Linked DNA regions of Bombyx mori. The main gene of each other region encodes a partner of the protein of the gene in region 2 in a complex. Links are inferred from orthologs where the notes say so. Each region holds a gene or a part of one and is shown on either strand. Other genes may lie near its edges.

Region 1 (7,773 bases), on a different chromosome or scaffold from region 2:
AATCGTCTCCTTCAAAGAATACGGTTCAAAACCTGCATTAAATAAAGGTTAATAGTTAACCTGTTATTTATCTAAGATGTCGTTCCGAAGAGTTTTGTGACTGCCAATGGAATACAAAGTCAATAATTCGTTTTTCTGATTTACCAATCATTGTCCAAAAGTCAGATTGCCGGCTTTGATAATAGTCGACTCATATATACCATGGGTTAATAATAATACTCGGCAAATCTAAGGACCTCAGATTCTCACTTAGTAACTTAGCTTTTATTGCTCTAGCCAGGCACACTAGCTCTACCTACTGTAATGTTCAGAGAATACTGCTTCCCATCTTACAGTATATCTCTTAAAGGCCTTTGACGACATTGCGTATTGATGGTGAATACTGTTCTACCGTATAGCAGATACAGTTGAATTAACCTACAGTGTGCGCGCGAGTTCGTGTCCATCGGGGCCAGAGGTGACGCGCGGGGGGCAGCTCGCCCCGCCTCCGTCCGCCTCCCCGCGTTTGTCTGACGTTTAGTGTTGTCTTTGACAGTTGTGACGCGCGCTTATCGATATCAAAAATTTACGCTAACGCTATTGTGTTATTTCATGGTGAATAAACTACGACTACTTCGCTTCCAACAAGTTCAGGTAGAAAAAAACCTACACTGATTCGGACTCTGATCTGTCGGTTATCTTTTCATCTGATAGTAATTGAATTGGAATTTAAAAAATATTTTTCTCTATTAGAAATAAATAAGTAATTACTTACCACATTTATTTTATAATTTGCAAAATGACCTAGTTACAATAAACCAAATTGACAGCTATTGACTAAATCGGTAGTTATTATCGACACCATAATTAACTAGGTCACAGCACTACCGCATTCCTCAGGACGGACATGAACTCGCGCGCCTACTGTAGAAGAAAATAGCTTCCAAATGAATAATTTTAACTTACGCTTCCCTTTCTTCTTTATCTCGTTTGATACGTTTCATTTCACGCAACTTCCAAGCTTCATATTCCAGTTCGTCATTTTCATCATCTGTACATACATCATTTATATTCCCTTCTTTTTGTTCTCCCTAAAAGTATGTTTAAAAGATTGAAATTGTGAAGAATAAAAACAGTGTGAAAAATATTTGTTTTATTCGTAATTTCGCATCACTATTAATCAACGTTTTTATAAGAAAATATAAATCATCTAAAACTTCAGCAGTCAACAGACTATTGATGCATAATATACTTTTTTTTTATTGCCCTTGTAGGCATACCAGCATACGGCCCCCTTGATGAGTATTTACCGTCGCCCATGGACTGGGCCAGCAATGTCAGGGGCAGAACCCCGGCTGCTGCCTACTGAACCACCTGCCTTCTCCTAATACTTTGATATTAAGTGAAGCATCAATACACCACATTTATATACGTTCATATGTAAACAACATGTTTAAGACTTTATATACAAGGTTATGTTAGAGGAAGTCTGAAAGTGGCACCTGTGACAGAGAAGCTGAGGAGTGCACGTTTGGGATGGTATGGACATGTGATGAGACGGAATGAAAATGAGGTTGTTATGAGAGTGTTAACTATGAATGTGGAAGGATTTAGAGGAAGAGGTAGACCTAAGAAGAAATGGATGGATTGTGTGAAAGACGATATGGGTAGGAGGGGAGTGAGCGAAGAAATGGTATATGATAGAAGAGTATGGAAGGAGAAAACATGTTGCGCCAACCCCAGGTGACTGGGAGAAGGGCAGGATAATGATGATGATGATACAAGGTTACCGACAATCGTTAGTAAAACAATTATTACATATTGATTTTGATTTCATAAAATTTATATTTTAAAACCTGATACTAAACCTGAGCACCCCGCTGTTCAGACCGAATCGTTTCCTCTACTAATTTAAGGGCTTCCCGTCGCCTTTCTTCTTTTTCTTTCCGAGCTTCAGCCTCTTCTCTTTTCTGCTGTTTCATTTTACGTTCTCTCTCTGCCACTGTCATACGCTCCGATGCTCTTACAAATACTGGTTTCACCCTTGGCCCTGGAAAAGGCCAACTATACATAAATTATGCAGTGTACTATGATGGCATAACCTGTGAAATGCAATATTGAAATTTCTTTACTTTTACTTACCTCCATTTAGAAGAAGCCCACTAAATATGAAGCTTAATTTGAAGGGATTACTTGACGCTTCTAAGTAATATTTACAAGTTTTATAAAATTTGAATACTAACCAGTATCTTCTTCACTGTCTGTGTACTCTGTGTCTGATGAGCCGCTTTCCTCTTTGTCACCTTCCAACATTTCTTCATCTTCATCTCTACCGAGTACTTCTTTTTCAGCTTCCCTACCATTTAATAAATTGATAATTTTATTACATTCAGACGTATTTAATATTTAAGTTCGTAATGCACCTTTTTAAAAAAACACTTGTGCTAACAATGTCTTCCTTTTTTATTGCATAGTGATTGCATAGTGAAGGAACTCAAAACACTTGGAACTCATATATACTACAATGTGAAAACCACTACATTTCAACTACAGCAATCTCCCTTTTGGCTGGGTGGAGAGTCCCATATACTCTTTCAGGAGTTATATTTGAAAGCATAATTCATTTAAAATTATCTATTTCACTGTATTATTGTGAATTTAAAAACTAATATGTTCTACATTTACCTGGCTGCAAGTTTTGCTCTTAGAGCCTGTCTGCGTCTTTCAATCTCTTCCTCATCCAGTTCATCTTCACTCTCGGAACTATCCCTCACGTCATGATCACTGATCTCAGATTCTGCTTCAGGTTCTGCATCAATAATTTCAGGCTTGTGTTCGGCTCTACGCGGCGGTGATTGTGCAATATTACGGAGACGTCGTAATCGAGGATCATCAACCTTAAAAGTGAAATTATACATTTCTACAATGAAGTGAAAAAGATGCAATTAACCTTGACACTTCTGTTATGAGGTACAATTTAAGATGAGCTGCAGAGAGCAGTCCATTTATAGTATTTCTCATTAGTGTTGCTCTTTATAAGTTACCTCTTTCTCAGAATCGCTATGATGTTCTTCTTTGCGGGTGATTATTTGAGGTAAAACTTGTTTCCGTTCAGGTCTTTGTTGCTCTATAAAATCTTCTTCATCTGATTCCTCAGATGATGACATTCCTTGTGCATAGTCAGGCTTTTTTCCAGATATGTATCGCTGAACTTTCACCTTTTGCATCGAGATCTCACCTGAAAATGAAGCCAATTTATGTAAAATAAAATGAAAACTTTGGAAATGCTTCAACTAAGCTGCATTGATTAATGTGAAAATTTCGAATCAATTAACTTTATTTTTATAGAATGGAAGTTTGAAAGCCAGTTTTTTTTTAAATTCATTTTAGGAATACATTATCGTACCTTTTTCATTTCTTATCGGAATTGCTCCCGCTGTACTCTGAATGCCTGTAGGTTGTGCTGGTAGGACATTCATCTTGCCAGTGTTTTCGTTTATAAAACAATGATAGTAGCTACTAGACCCCAATTATTAAATTTTCATTAAATATAAATTACTTGATTTCACAAAGCCTTGTTCAGTTTAAAAGATATTTTACCCATTATTATCCTAAATTACAGTAACGATACGTTTAGTATGATTAGTACTAGCCACAGATAAGATACAGAATTTGACATTACTTCAACAAATTTTTTTCAAACACGCAAATACCCTGACCAAAGGAACAAAGGTCATACAGGCTGTTTTGTTTTAAAACTAAAACCATATCTGTTGTATGAAACTGCTTTAAGCGAAGAGGAAAGTCATAACTTTTTCACATTTACTAAATAAGAAGTAAAGTAATTTGATAAAAAAAAAATCCTGTTGAAGACTTTTTGCAAATTTATTTGCAACAGTGACCACTGATGGTGTAGTGTGTTAATGAGGCTTGCATACATGGCTACAGGACAAGCTGTAGAACATTGTTTATACATAAACCTTTAAAGTATACTTCAGTGCGTTTCATTGACCTATATAGTAGGGACACGACATATTTTTCTATACGTACAATTGCTTATACAAATAACACCCATTTTGAAGGCACACACATAAACATATATCTATCTCGTTCTTACTCAGCACGAGTCAGCACTGTAACTCGCAGGAAAACAATATAACAGTATTTCAGTGCGTACATAAAATGAAACATGAATATACGTAAATGTCTAATGAGGCCGAAAATCCGTCATGCTTAGCGCACCAAATGTCATTGTCACGTCAGTTCAACCGGTTTTTTTTTAATGCTTTGAATGGTGGACGATCTCACAGCCCACCTGGTGCTAAGTGGTTACTGGAGCCCATGGACATCTATAACGTAAATGCGCCACCCACCTTGAGATATAAGTTCTAAGATCTCAGTATAGTTACAACGGCTGCCCCACCCTTCAAACCGAAACGCATTGTTGCTTCACGGCAGAAATAGGCAGGGCGATGGTGCCTACCCGCGCGGAGTCACAAGAGGTCCTACCACCAGGATTTTGGGTTATTGACTTTGATATCGATTTAATATGATTGCTTATATAACATTTCTTATTTTATCATGCTACCCCGCTTAAACCATACAAAAATAATAATTATAACATATTTAATAGGATCTCAAGAAAGTAGATACACCAAAACTAATAACTATATGATAATATATTTAAATTCATTATGGAGCACTCATCCTAAAAATCGGACACAATTTTTTCATATATCTTCTTCTTCTTCTTTATTTTTGGCTCTGGCACGTTTTGTGCATTAGCCAGCGTCAAGTAATAACGTTTTTATAATTCGCCGTTTTATTTATTTACAGTTTATAAATAATAAAAAACGAAGGAAACTTATCGCAACAAAACATAAATGATTTAGAACGAATTGAATTTACAAAAAAAATCAGAATAATTATATAACAGGGAAAATAAATCAAAATTATAGTTTAATGTTATTATTTAAAATAAACCTACTTAAAATACTATATACAAGGGGATTAAAATCTCGAAGAAGTAAAGAAATATTAGTAGGAAGGGGAATAGAGAGAGATACTAAAGAAGTATATAAGGAAGAATGATCATATAAAGAACAAGCAAAGAAAATATGATTCAGGTCACAATAACTCTCGCCACACTCACAGGCGGTACTAGTTACGATACCAAGTTTGTGCAAATGAACTGGAAGGCTGTTATGTCCCAGACGCATACGAATTATAGTAGAAGTGGCGGTTTTACCAAACGACAATTTGGCAAACCATGGCTTCCTGGGAACGGAAGACTGTATAGCATACAAGAAACGACCCTTAATCCGGCCGCTCTCTTCCCAACACATATTCCATGATTTGTGGAGGCATATGCCGGGCAAAGCAGCAAGATCATGGCCAAAATTCTTGTACGGGTATACGTCACCGGTCACAGTTGCACTGTTGGCCAAACTGTCAGCTTTCACATTTCCAGATATGCCACAGTGACTAGGTACCCAACAAAATGATACTAAATAGTTGTGTGATTGGCAGTGCAACAGCTTTCTCTTACATTCAAATATTACATGAAAAAAAGGGTTAAGTTTTAGTGAAAATTTTGCTAAGCTCTGTAATGCACTTAAGGAATCAGTAAATACAACGGTTTTTTTTAGTTTGAAAGACAGCACATATTCAAGAGCTTTTAATAGTCCAAAACATTCACCGGTAAAGACCGATGATTCCGGAGGTAATTTAATTTTCTGAACTATGTTGTACTGTTTGTGATACACTCCAACACCAACACACCCACTGGAGTGTTTAGATGCATCTGTATAAATTTGATGCCAGTTAGGCCATTTACTATTGACATTGCAATTAAAATTTTCATTGGCATTAAAATCAGATTTTTCAATGCCAAGAGAAAAGCAAATCACTGGAGAAAGTAAGAGAGAATCATAAGAAGCGCCAAATAAAGGAAGCACCTGAAAAGAATGAGTTGGGGCTTGTAATTGTTTGAATTTCAGGAAACTTTTTAACAGACAAGGTAAAGGTTTATGTGAAGAGGGTACTTTTTTAGAAAGAAACTCTAGTTTCGAAATGAGGGGATGATTATGGAACTGAACAATTCTAAAAATGAATCTATCGGACAGATATTGACGTCTTAAGTTTAAAGGAGGGTCACAACATTCTATTTGCAGAGCATTAACCGGACTCGATTTCATGGCACCAGAAACAATCCTCAAAGCCCTAGACTGTATGAGATCTAGTTTTCTAAAGCCAGCCACATTACCTGGGTCTAAGAAAAAGGTCCCAAAATCCAGTACACTTCTAATGACAGCATTATACACCAACCTCAGTGTAGCCGGGTGAGCACCCCACCAAACCCCACCGAGACATCTCAGCATGTTCAAGTTTCGCTCACATTTACTAACCACAAATTCGCAGTGTGGTTGACCCGTTAGTTTAGAATCAAGAATAGCTCCTAAGAACTTAACTTGATTCCTAATGGGTAATATATCCCCATCATATGTTATATTAAGTGAGCAAGGAGTACGGGATTTGGTGAAAAGTACAACAGTACTTTTTGAGGGAGACAGATCAAGGCCATTTGCATCCATCCAGATTTTTAGCAAAGATAAAGAGGAGGAAACATATCGTTCAGCAGTACTTACAGACATATCAGAGGCATAAATAACCAAGTCATCGGCATACTGTAATAAACTTGCTGAATCTCCGACTGAACCTTCTAGATCATATGTATAAATATTGTACAATAAAGGACTCAGAACAGACCCCTGTGGCAAACCTCTCCATACCAGCCTACTAGGCTTATAAGGGCCGCCAACATCTAAAATAATTTTCCTCTCCGAAAGAAGATTTACAATGGAATTAGTTAAAAAATCGGGAACCTTTAATTTATCTAATTTACTTTTTAGAATATGTAATAGAACGTTATCATAAGCCGAATTAATATCCAAAAAAGCAGCAACTACTGACTTTTTATCTGAGAAAGCATTACGAATATCCGTAACTAATATGCCTAAATTGTCCCCCACACTTTTACCTTTTCGAAATCCAAACTGAGTTTGGGACAGATATTCGTTATTTTCTATATACCATTCAAGCCGATTTTTAATTAAATGTTCAACAACTTTTGTGATCACCGATGACAAAACTATCGGACGATATGATTTGATATCAGATTGTACCTTAGACGGCTTTAAAAATGGCAATACTATTTGACTTCGCCATGACGGTGGAATGTCACCTGTCAGTAAAATTTTATTTATTAAATTTAAAAAGTAATTTAATCCTTTTTCGCCAAGGTGAGACAAAAAGGAATATGGAATCCCATCTTCCCCTGGAGCACTGTCTTTGACGTGATTTAATACACCTTTTAACTCCACTAACGTAAAAGTTAGATTTAGAGAAGGGGCATCAGAGTTATATTGCTTATAAGACAGGATAGGATCGTTGAGTGGAGCAGAAGGAGGAGCCAAACGATCAAGGAATTGATCTGCTAATTCTATAGGCAGCAACAATGCGTTAGAAGGATTGACAGCTGATCTAAATCTTTTGATATTTCGCCATATGACAGTAGCATGTGTTTCAGGTGATATAGTGCTACAAAATTTCCTCCACCCGTCAAATTTCTTTTTTTTAAATAGTTTTCTAACCTCTTTCATTATAGTCATTAATGCCTCGTAGTTTTTCATAGACATATTATTGCGATAATTACGCTCTGCTGCCTTGCGTTTCTGTATAGCATTGGTACATTCTTCATCCCACCACGGTGGAGATGACAACTTATTACTACGC
Region 2 (7,682 bases):
ATTATGCTCCTGTACTTCAATCTCGACAGTTTAATTATTTAATTTTAGAGCTCCCTGAAATAATGAAACAGAGTAAATTAATACTCACCATCTTTATTTCGTCGAACTGTCCAAACAGCATTCGGTGATCCTGGAAGCTCTGATACAGCCATTTCAGCAACTTCAAGACCATGTCTTAGTGCTCTAAGGGAGGATCGTGGGCCTCTCCCACATGCCAAGTAAACTTGCGGAGTATCTTCCCCAGCTAAATCTGCCACATGGCAAGCTGGAATTTTTATTAATCAATTATATATATATACTATTTTTTATTTTGAGGACTCCTCATTAAAACATTGAACGCCATGCGGCCCACTGGTGGGCCTAGCTTACTATACTATTTGAGCCAAGGCAAAATTAGAGAATCTAACTTTTATCAACTTGAGATTTTCATTATAAAATTTATATAATGCAATAATTTGCACGGAACATAGGACTTTAAACTGCAAATTTCTATTGATTTGAAAACCAAAGCGTTTGGGTTCGGCTTAATAAGAGTTTTGTTTGATAGCTGCAATGAGTGGCTTGTAGGAAAGCCTCCCGCGGCTCACGGGTGACCCTCGTGGCCCGAACGGTCAGTAAGATAAGGCGCACCAGTGATGCGTTCAATTGCTACTACTTACCTAATATTGGTGACAAAGAATCCATTTCATCTACCAGTACTAAATTCCTCAAAGGTCTTGGTGCAAAAAAGAATGTGTCGCCCTCTTCTAGAGGCATAGCAGAGCTAAATTCTGGTTCATCATCTTCATCACCCAAATGTGCTATCTGATATAAGTAGCTGAAATTTATGTGTATTTTAGTAATTTATCATTCCTAAATAGATGTACAGCACACATCATAAACTTAGTATGTACATCCTATATCAGTGTGCACTCACCCCATAACAAGGGAGGACCTTGGTTCAAGGATAAATTTCTATAGCATGAAGTAATTCTTAAGAGTACAAAATGAGTTTATACTCACTAGCACTTATGCAACGCAAATATATTTACAAAAGTATACTCACTGGTTGCCAAATTCACAAGCCACAAACAAAAATCCAGTTTTAAGAACACACATTGATGTTGCCACTGGTACAGTGTCAAAGTATTTCAGCTTTATTTCAGTGACCATATCTTCATCAGTTTCTATAGTTATTTTGAAAATATCACCCTGTTCAGTTTGTGCCAAAAAGAAAAACATGGACTTAGTTTTATGCGTGGCAGAACAAACAAAGATCATTCCTCTTTCTGGATCATCTAAATCATTTCTTCTGCGAGGTATAGGACACCTAATATCATGTTGATCACCCAAATTTTTGTATGTGAGATAATTTTCAGAGCATATAAGGACACCAGAAGGACCATCATTTCCTCCAGGCACAGTTATGAGAAAGTTTGCATGCTCTTCTAAAGGTTCAGAGTACTTTCTAACAACATGATTCAAACCAAGATCTAATTCGTAAAATGTTAAAGTCTGTTGAGTTTTTTGTGCAGCTTCGCCTGTGGAAGATAGTCATGATTGATTTTCAAAAGTAAAGATAAGACTTATTTGTGTGTTAATTTAAAAATCATACAGAGAGGATTTGACGTCACTGTCAATCAGAAACACGGACCTCAGAATAATCATAGTATGTTTTGTAATTAGATAGTATGTTTAAATTATCACAAAAAGTATATGAAATTCTAAGCAAAACATGACAAGACATTCAATTAACAAATTACTACTAACCGGTAGGATCTGAATCAGCTTCTTCATAATCAATTTCCAAACATGCAAACATGGGATTTTCAAATCCAACATCAACACCAACCATGTGATAAACTAGTGTGTTTGACTTGTGAGCTTCAAGTGGTGAAGATATTGTTAGTCGAGCTTCTGCATCTCTATTCAAAATGTATACCAATTTCTGTTTTTCAATTGCACCTAAAATTTAAATAAACTTTGAGTACTGATTTTGTAAATTTCATTTGAGCAAATAAATTGGAATGTAATGAATTTAATATTGTACCATTCAAAGTACAAAAAGCAGTTTTATAAGATCAGACAGTGAAAATTGTTTTTTTTTTTTTATTGTATGGTATTGTAAATGACAGTATTTCAGAGATAACCAAAAGTTAGTGATTGACCAAGCATCATTGGAATTAAGATATTTATATCTTTTTACTGATGTTTTCAAAACAGTAAACCTGTTTTTCGATTTTAGAGTGAGATAATCACCTTAAAAAAAGACATGTGCGATTTTTGGTCTCAAATCAATGCATCACATGTGTGGCATAACTAGAGTCCCATTATTACTTATCTTAATAATTATATTTTCCAGTTTATTGGTTCACATCACCATAAATGCCAATAAAAATTTACAGTATACATTAAAAGGTACAAACAAATTAAATTACAAAAGGTCCAATTGAAATTGTATGCACAAACAGTGCTTAAGTAAACTTATACTAGTTTCCCTTCAATAAACCAAAATCAGAGAAAACAAATCTTACACCCGTATCTTTAGTCGTTTACACGAGCTTGACTCGACTCAACCTCCAACGCGCGTTTTGGTATGCTTAGTCGTAAAAATAAACTCCACTCAAACGTCCTTGGAAAATTTTCCTAATCGGAGTGAAGTAAGCGAACTGTCAAGTCAAGGTACGTCGCGACGTACCATGAACGTTCCTCAAGACTGGTTTTCTATCAATTTCCAAATAGTATGTGGACCGCAAATGGAAATATATGATATTGTTGTGCAATGGCCTGGATCTGTGCATGATTCGCACATATTTTGATAATTTTTATTAATAAAGTAAATAGTTCGAGGTTAGACTCTTGTTTAGACTAGTGGTTAGATATTTGAAACTCCTTATTTACCTACATAAGAGTCATATTTTGCTTACTACCTAATAAATAAAGTCAAGCTTGATCAAATTTTAATCATTATTACCTCACTCGAGGACAGTTGATGAATATTGTAATGGTCGACTAAAAATACCAAACTCGAGTAAGTTTGGGAGGAATGCTCGAGCATCATCGGATGAGTTAAGAGGACTATTTGACGAAACGTCTAAAGATACGGGCATTAGAATTTAATACTCCACGTTTTGTACCACTGAATATCAGCAACTCTGGCAGATTTTCGAGACGAGAAGAAAGTCTTATGGCTTTGTAGCAGTGCTAAAGGTTAATTGTAATTTTTAGTTGCAGCATTCCAAAACTACTCTTTTGGAACCCAAAACTAAAATTGATTCAAGAGGTAGGTATTATGAAAAAGTCCATACCAATCATAACAGCTCTTCCTTTAGGATCAATTGATAGATATTGACCAGGAACTATTCTCCTACAGCCAGATTTACCAAATGTTTCTTGATGGACTTTCTCCAAAATGTTCTTAGTTGGGATGTACTCCAAAATGATGATACGTCCAGAATCAGAACCAACCACAATGTAATCTGCAGAAAATTCTATATTTTAATGTTGTGTTCTATTGTTCGTAAGTTCAGGGTTAGGTATAACTTTGGAGATTTAGGTTATTTTTGCGTTTATAATGTGTGCAATAATCTATCATGTTAAGCATGCTACAAAGTCAAGAGTCATAAAAGTTCACATTATCTGTTAGGATTAGTTTGTTCCATTGCGGTACATCCCAACATTGAGAAAATGCAAGGAGCGACGCTTTGGCCATATTTTGTGCATCTAGTTATCCCATGTTCTTTGTGTTATAAAAAACATGGAGCAAGATGATGCAGTGTTATTTTCGATCTTATATAATGTAAAAATATTGGATTTGAGAGGAAATTCTGGGATTAAGATAATTTAAAAGAGATAAGCTACACAGTTCAATGGACCACATGGTCACATGGCCAAAGTTTACTTACCTTTTGTTCCTCCGGTTAGACGAAAAGCCATAATAGACCGAACTACACCAAATATTTCAATTTTCATTAATGTGTGGACCTTTCCCGTGTTCGGATCTGGCCGTAACAATTCAAGTGTTTTGCCACGTGATATAATAATCTCCTGTTGCTTAGTTCCAGAGAAATTTCCATGTACGGCATGTGTTATGGCAGATGAACCTTGCAGTGTTAAATTGTAGAGATACATCGTGATCTTATTTTAACCTATCCCTGAAAATAAATCGGGTTAGGTTAGTTAATTTATCTTTTCAAATAATTAAGCAACTGAAACAGAGGTGTGGAATTAAAATGTAGGGCTCGTAACTGACGAAAGCAGAAAGGATTTTGTGCTTTCGAATGGGTGAGCTTTCTGTTATAGCACCGAAAAAACGACCACGATTAATATATAATTTATCGTGGAGATACCTAGTGCAAATACAAATTGAAATGCATCATAGTCTAGCAAAACGAGAGAATTAAAAGATTACCTTTAAATATTAGCAATTGATGGCCGCAATGCGGCTCGATGCAGTATTTAATTTTCACGGGTGAACCGGCACAAGCAGTTGCCGGTAAAATGGCGGATTCAGAGCACGCCATTGAGCTTCGTTTTCACGGACCAATCAAATGAGAGGATTTTGCATCATGGCGTCGAGTTTTATAGAGGAATGTTGCCATATAAGAAATATTTTAGTAGCTGTTTTCTGCCATCTGTTGTTGGGTAGTGAAACTTGTAGCACAGGCTTTCAACGAATGAGCAACGGCTATTTTTTGTCAATAGATGTCCATTGCAGTCCACATAACATGCAATGAGATATTTAAATAGACAATAAAAATAACTTTAATTTACCTTAATAGATAATAAAGCTTCAATGTTAGTTCATTAATAACAAAAGTTTTATTAATAATAAAATCAAAATTAATTTAGTTAAAATACAGTTATATTAAATGTATTTACTTAAATTATTCGGAATTACACGTATTAAGACACATCTAATCTCACTAGAGATTTGATAAGGATCTCTCTCTCAAATTCTTCCTAGTTACAGACATCGAGCTCACCGCTCACTTTGTGTTAAATTGTTACGTGAAAAAAGGGCCAAATCATAAAGTGAATGCAATGCAACGTGCTTCCAACGTAATTATTTCCGACTGATTTTGAAAGGTCGTCGGAGATATACAATGTCCTGACTAAGGCCTCGGTTCAGTAATCTCGGTAGAGTTCCTCGGTAGGGCGGCAGTAGACAAATCTCCCTATCCGTTCTGCTTTTTGATAGCTGAGCGAATACGCAATTATTTTTTTCTGTCTGCCCAGTGAGCGCCTGTCAGTCCAAAGGTGAGGCACCCTGCTGTCTTCTTGAGAATTGGCGAATAGGCTGTACATCTTCTAGAGTCCTTAAGCCTAATGGAAAATTGTATTGTTTTTCTGTAACTGTAACTGTACCTTTTCTGTACCTTTGGTCATATAAATATATAATTATGTATTTATTTAGGTACCGCCAGAGCGTTTTCTGAACGGAATTAAGGATAGATTTTATTGTGATTTGTACATCATGTACGAAGGTGGGCGAGGGAATCGATTTATCTTAACACCAAGTGGTCCGTTACTCCGATGATCAATCTATTTTAAAAAAAAAAACAAGTAGAATCGCTGCGTGCATAATGGTTTGCAAGGCCATAATTGTGCTATGTGTTGTCCCTGCATTATGTTTTGTATCTTTTATTTTATTAATGCCGTTTGGCAGACGAGCTCAAAACTCTACCTGCTGTTGAGGAATTACCGAGCAGACATCTCAACCTAGATCCCGTCATCCACATGAACATTATAAGCTGATCACCCAATCGCATAATATCTGTCGCACACCCATGTACATGCGGTTGGTTTGTGATAATTTTTTTACAGTATGTAATAATATTGGTACAGCCTTTTAATATGTATCGTAATTATTACAAGTAACGTGAATTTATAATGTTGGCAGATATTAGTACTAAATATTGGGATCTTTCATCGTGGGATTGGTTCGGGTCGAAAAATTAGTACCTGCCTTTACGAAGCAGCGCTTACTCACCGTCACTGATAATGTTTGTACGACGTTTCATAAATAAATTTGTGTATTTTTATTTCTTTGCAAAACAATATGTCTTTGACTGCCCTTCAATTGAACTGTTATTTCGGTGATATCGATATTGCGATCGGTAAACGTAATCGACATTTTTGAACAGTTTTCTTAAGTATCGGTCACGAATCTTAGACTTGAACATTATTTTTAATATCTCAAGAAACAAAATAGCTTATCTTATACCTTTAATACCTTTTAACGAGCAATTCTTGTATATTAATATATACGTATATAATCTGAATCTCGGAAACGGCTCCAACGATTTTCATAAAATTTAGTATACAGGGGATTTCGGGGGCGATAAATCGATCTAGCTACGATTTATTTTCAGAAAATGTTGTTTTATTCGTGTTTTCAATAATCAACTCTTCCCGACATCTATTGGCGAATAATAATAATTTTTTTTAATTGAGGGCAACTGACCGCTTTAAAGACAACAAGATGGCGTTATCAAAAAAAAAAACAGTCATCGTCTGGTAAAATTGTTAAGCTTGGTATGCGTTAGGCGGATACGTAATTTATTTATTTTACATTACAGGTATAAGGCTCGCTTAGTTTCAGGTCACGATCTCAGCGGATGATGTGCACGTGTGCCGGTTCGATCGTTCGCAGGAAAGAAAAAAATACAAATAAAAAATATTTCGCTTTATACGAACGTCTTGCACGCAATTTTATCATGATGATAAAATACGTGTTAAAAGGTGTTCTTAAGATGAAATATTTTAGGTTTATACTCGTTATTTTGGAAATAGAATATATTATGAATTGGTTATGTGTATTCTGTATGAAATATTTTAAATTTATTGCTGTCAATGACAAAAGCGTACTGATTATATTTAAATAATTGTTTTGTGTTTATCGATTCATAAATACTAAATACTATCAATTTAGTTTTCGTTAATGAGAATCTATGTACATATAGCGTGTAATTTGTGGCGGGAAACCCAATGTTTTTTTTAAGTCACTTTTTTCTAGATCTTAGATATATTATTTTTCAGAGCTTATATAATAGTGTTGGATATTGGAATACTAACTACATATTTTCATTTTATTGTTCCACACTGTACGTAAATCTGTTAATTCAATAGAACAAGGACGCTGAACCAAATTTGCTTGCATTAAAAATGTAGGATTACATGTATGTAGGTATATCCAATTTTAAATGTGTATTTTAATCTGAAAAAGTTGCGTGTACATTAAATCTTATATCTCTGGTGATACATTTTGTCGTTTTAATTAAGTAGGTGTCAGAAAAAGAAAATAATTCAGAGTGTTTTTTTAATTGCTTGAGTAAGGAGTTTAAAACACGCAAACAAGACACGGTTTGCATGTTAATGTCGTTATTTTATTACGAAACTATAAATCAAAGGTTTGGCTTCACACCAAACGAAGCGTACTCCAATTAAAAGTTCTGTGGACTCTATAAACCTTTCCGATAAATTATTTATTGGGTTTCGTGTACATATCGGGCCTAGCAGCTCGTGGAAGTTAGGATGTACTATAATATAAAATGATTTTATTATTGATTTTAGATCGGGATGACATTATTTGTATGTATTATCAAAGATTAGTGAAGATCGGTCTCGTTAAGTTTTGATTAATAATTAATTGTATAAAAACATCACATTATTAAAATTCCTCGGGCGCCATCTTTTGTTTC

The links. Proteins that work in one complex are often made in the same cells at the same time.
Region 1: splicing factor 3B subunit 3 (region 2) and microfibrillar-associated protein 1 share a complex: the UniProt entries of both Drosophila melanogaster proteins name them as parts of the spliceosome B complex. The link is inferred for Bombyx mori from reciprocal best matches to the Drosophila melanogaster genes Sf3b3 and Mfap1.

The regions. Positions count from the first base shown.
Region 1 is NC_085127.1:8,421,687-8,429,459, forward strand, and holds the start of microfibrillar-associated protein 1, read right to left. Parts: upstream 4,542-7,773; 5' UTR 3,459-4,541; coding exon 3,386-3,458; intron 3,218-3,385; coding exon 3,024-3,217; intron 2,877-3,023; coding exon 2,665-2,876; intron 2,336-2,664; coding exon 2,223-2,335; intron 2,030-2,222; coding exon 1,848-2,029; intron 1,071-1,847; coding exon 946-1,070; intron 1-945. UniProt on the Drosophila melanogaster protein: Required for pre-mRNA splicing.
Region 2 is NC_085117.1:14,813,801-14,821,482, forward strand, and holds the start of splicing factor 3B subunit 3, read right to left. Parts: upstream 4,552-7,682; 5' UTR 4,391-4,551; intron 4,134-4,390; 5' UTR 4,111-4,133; coding exon 3,885-4,110; intron 3,459-3,884; coding exon 3,288-3,458; intron 1,945-3,287; coding exon 1,750-1,944; intron 1,521-1,749; coding exon 1,046-1,520; intron 818-1,045; coding exon 660-817; intron 266-659; coding exon 89-265; intron 1-88. UniProt on the Drosophila melanogaster protein: Involved in pre-mRNA splicing as a component of the splicing factor SF3B complex, a constituent of the spliceosome. SF3B complex is required for 'A' complex assembly formed by the stable binding of U2 snRNP to the branchpoint sequence (BPS) in pre-mRNA.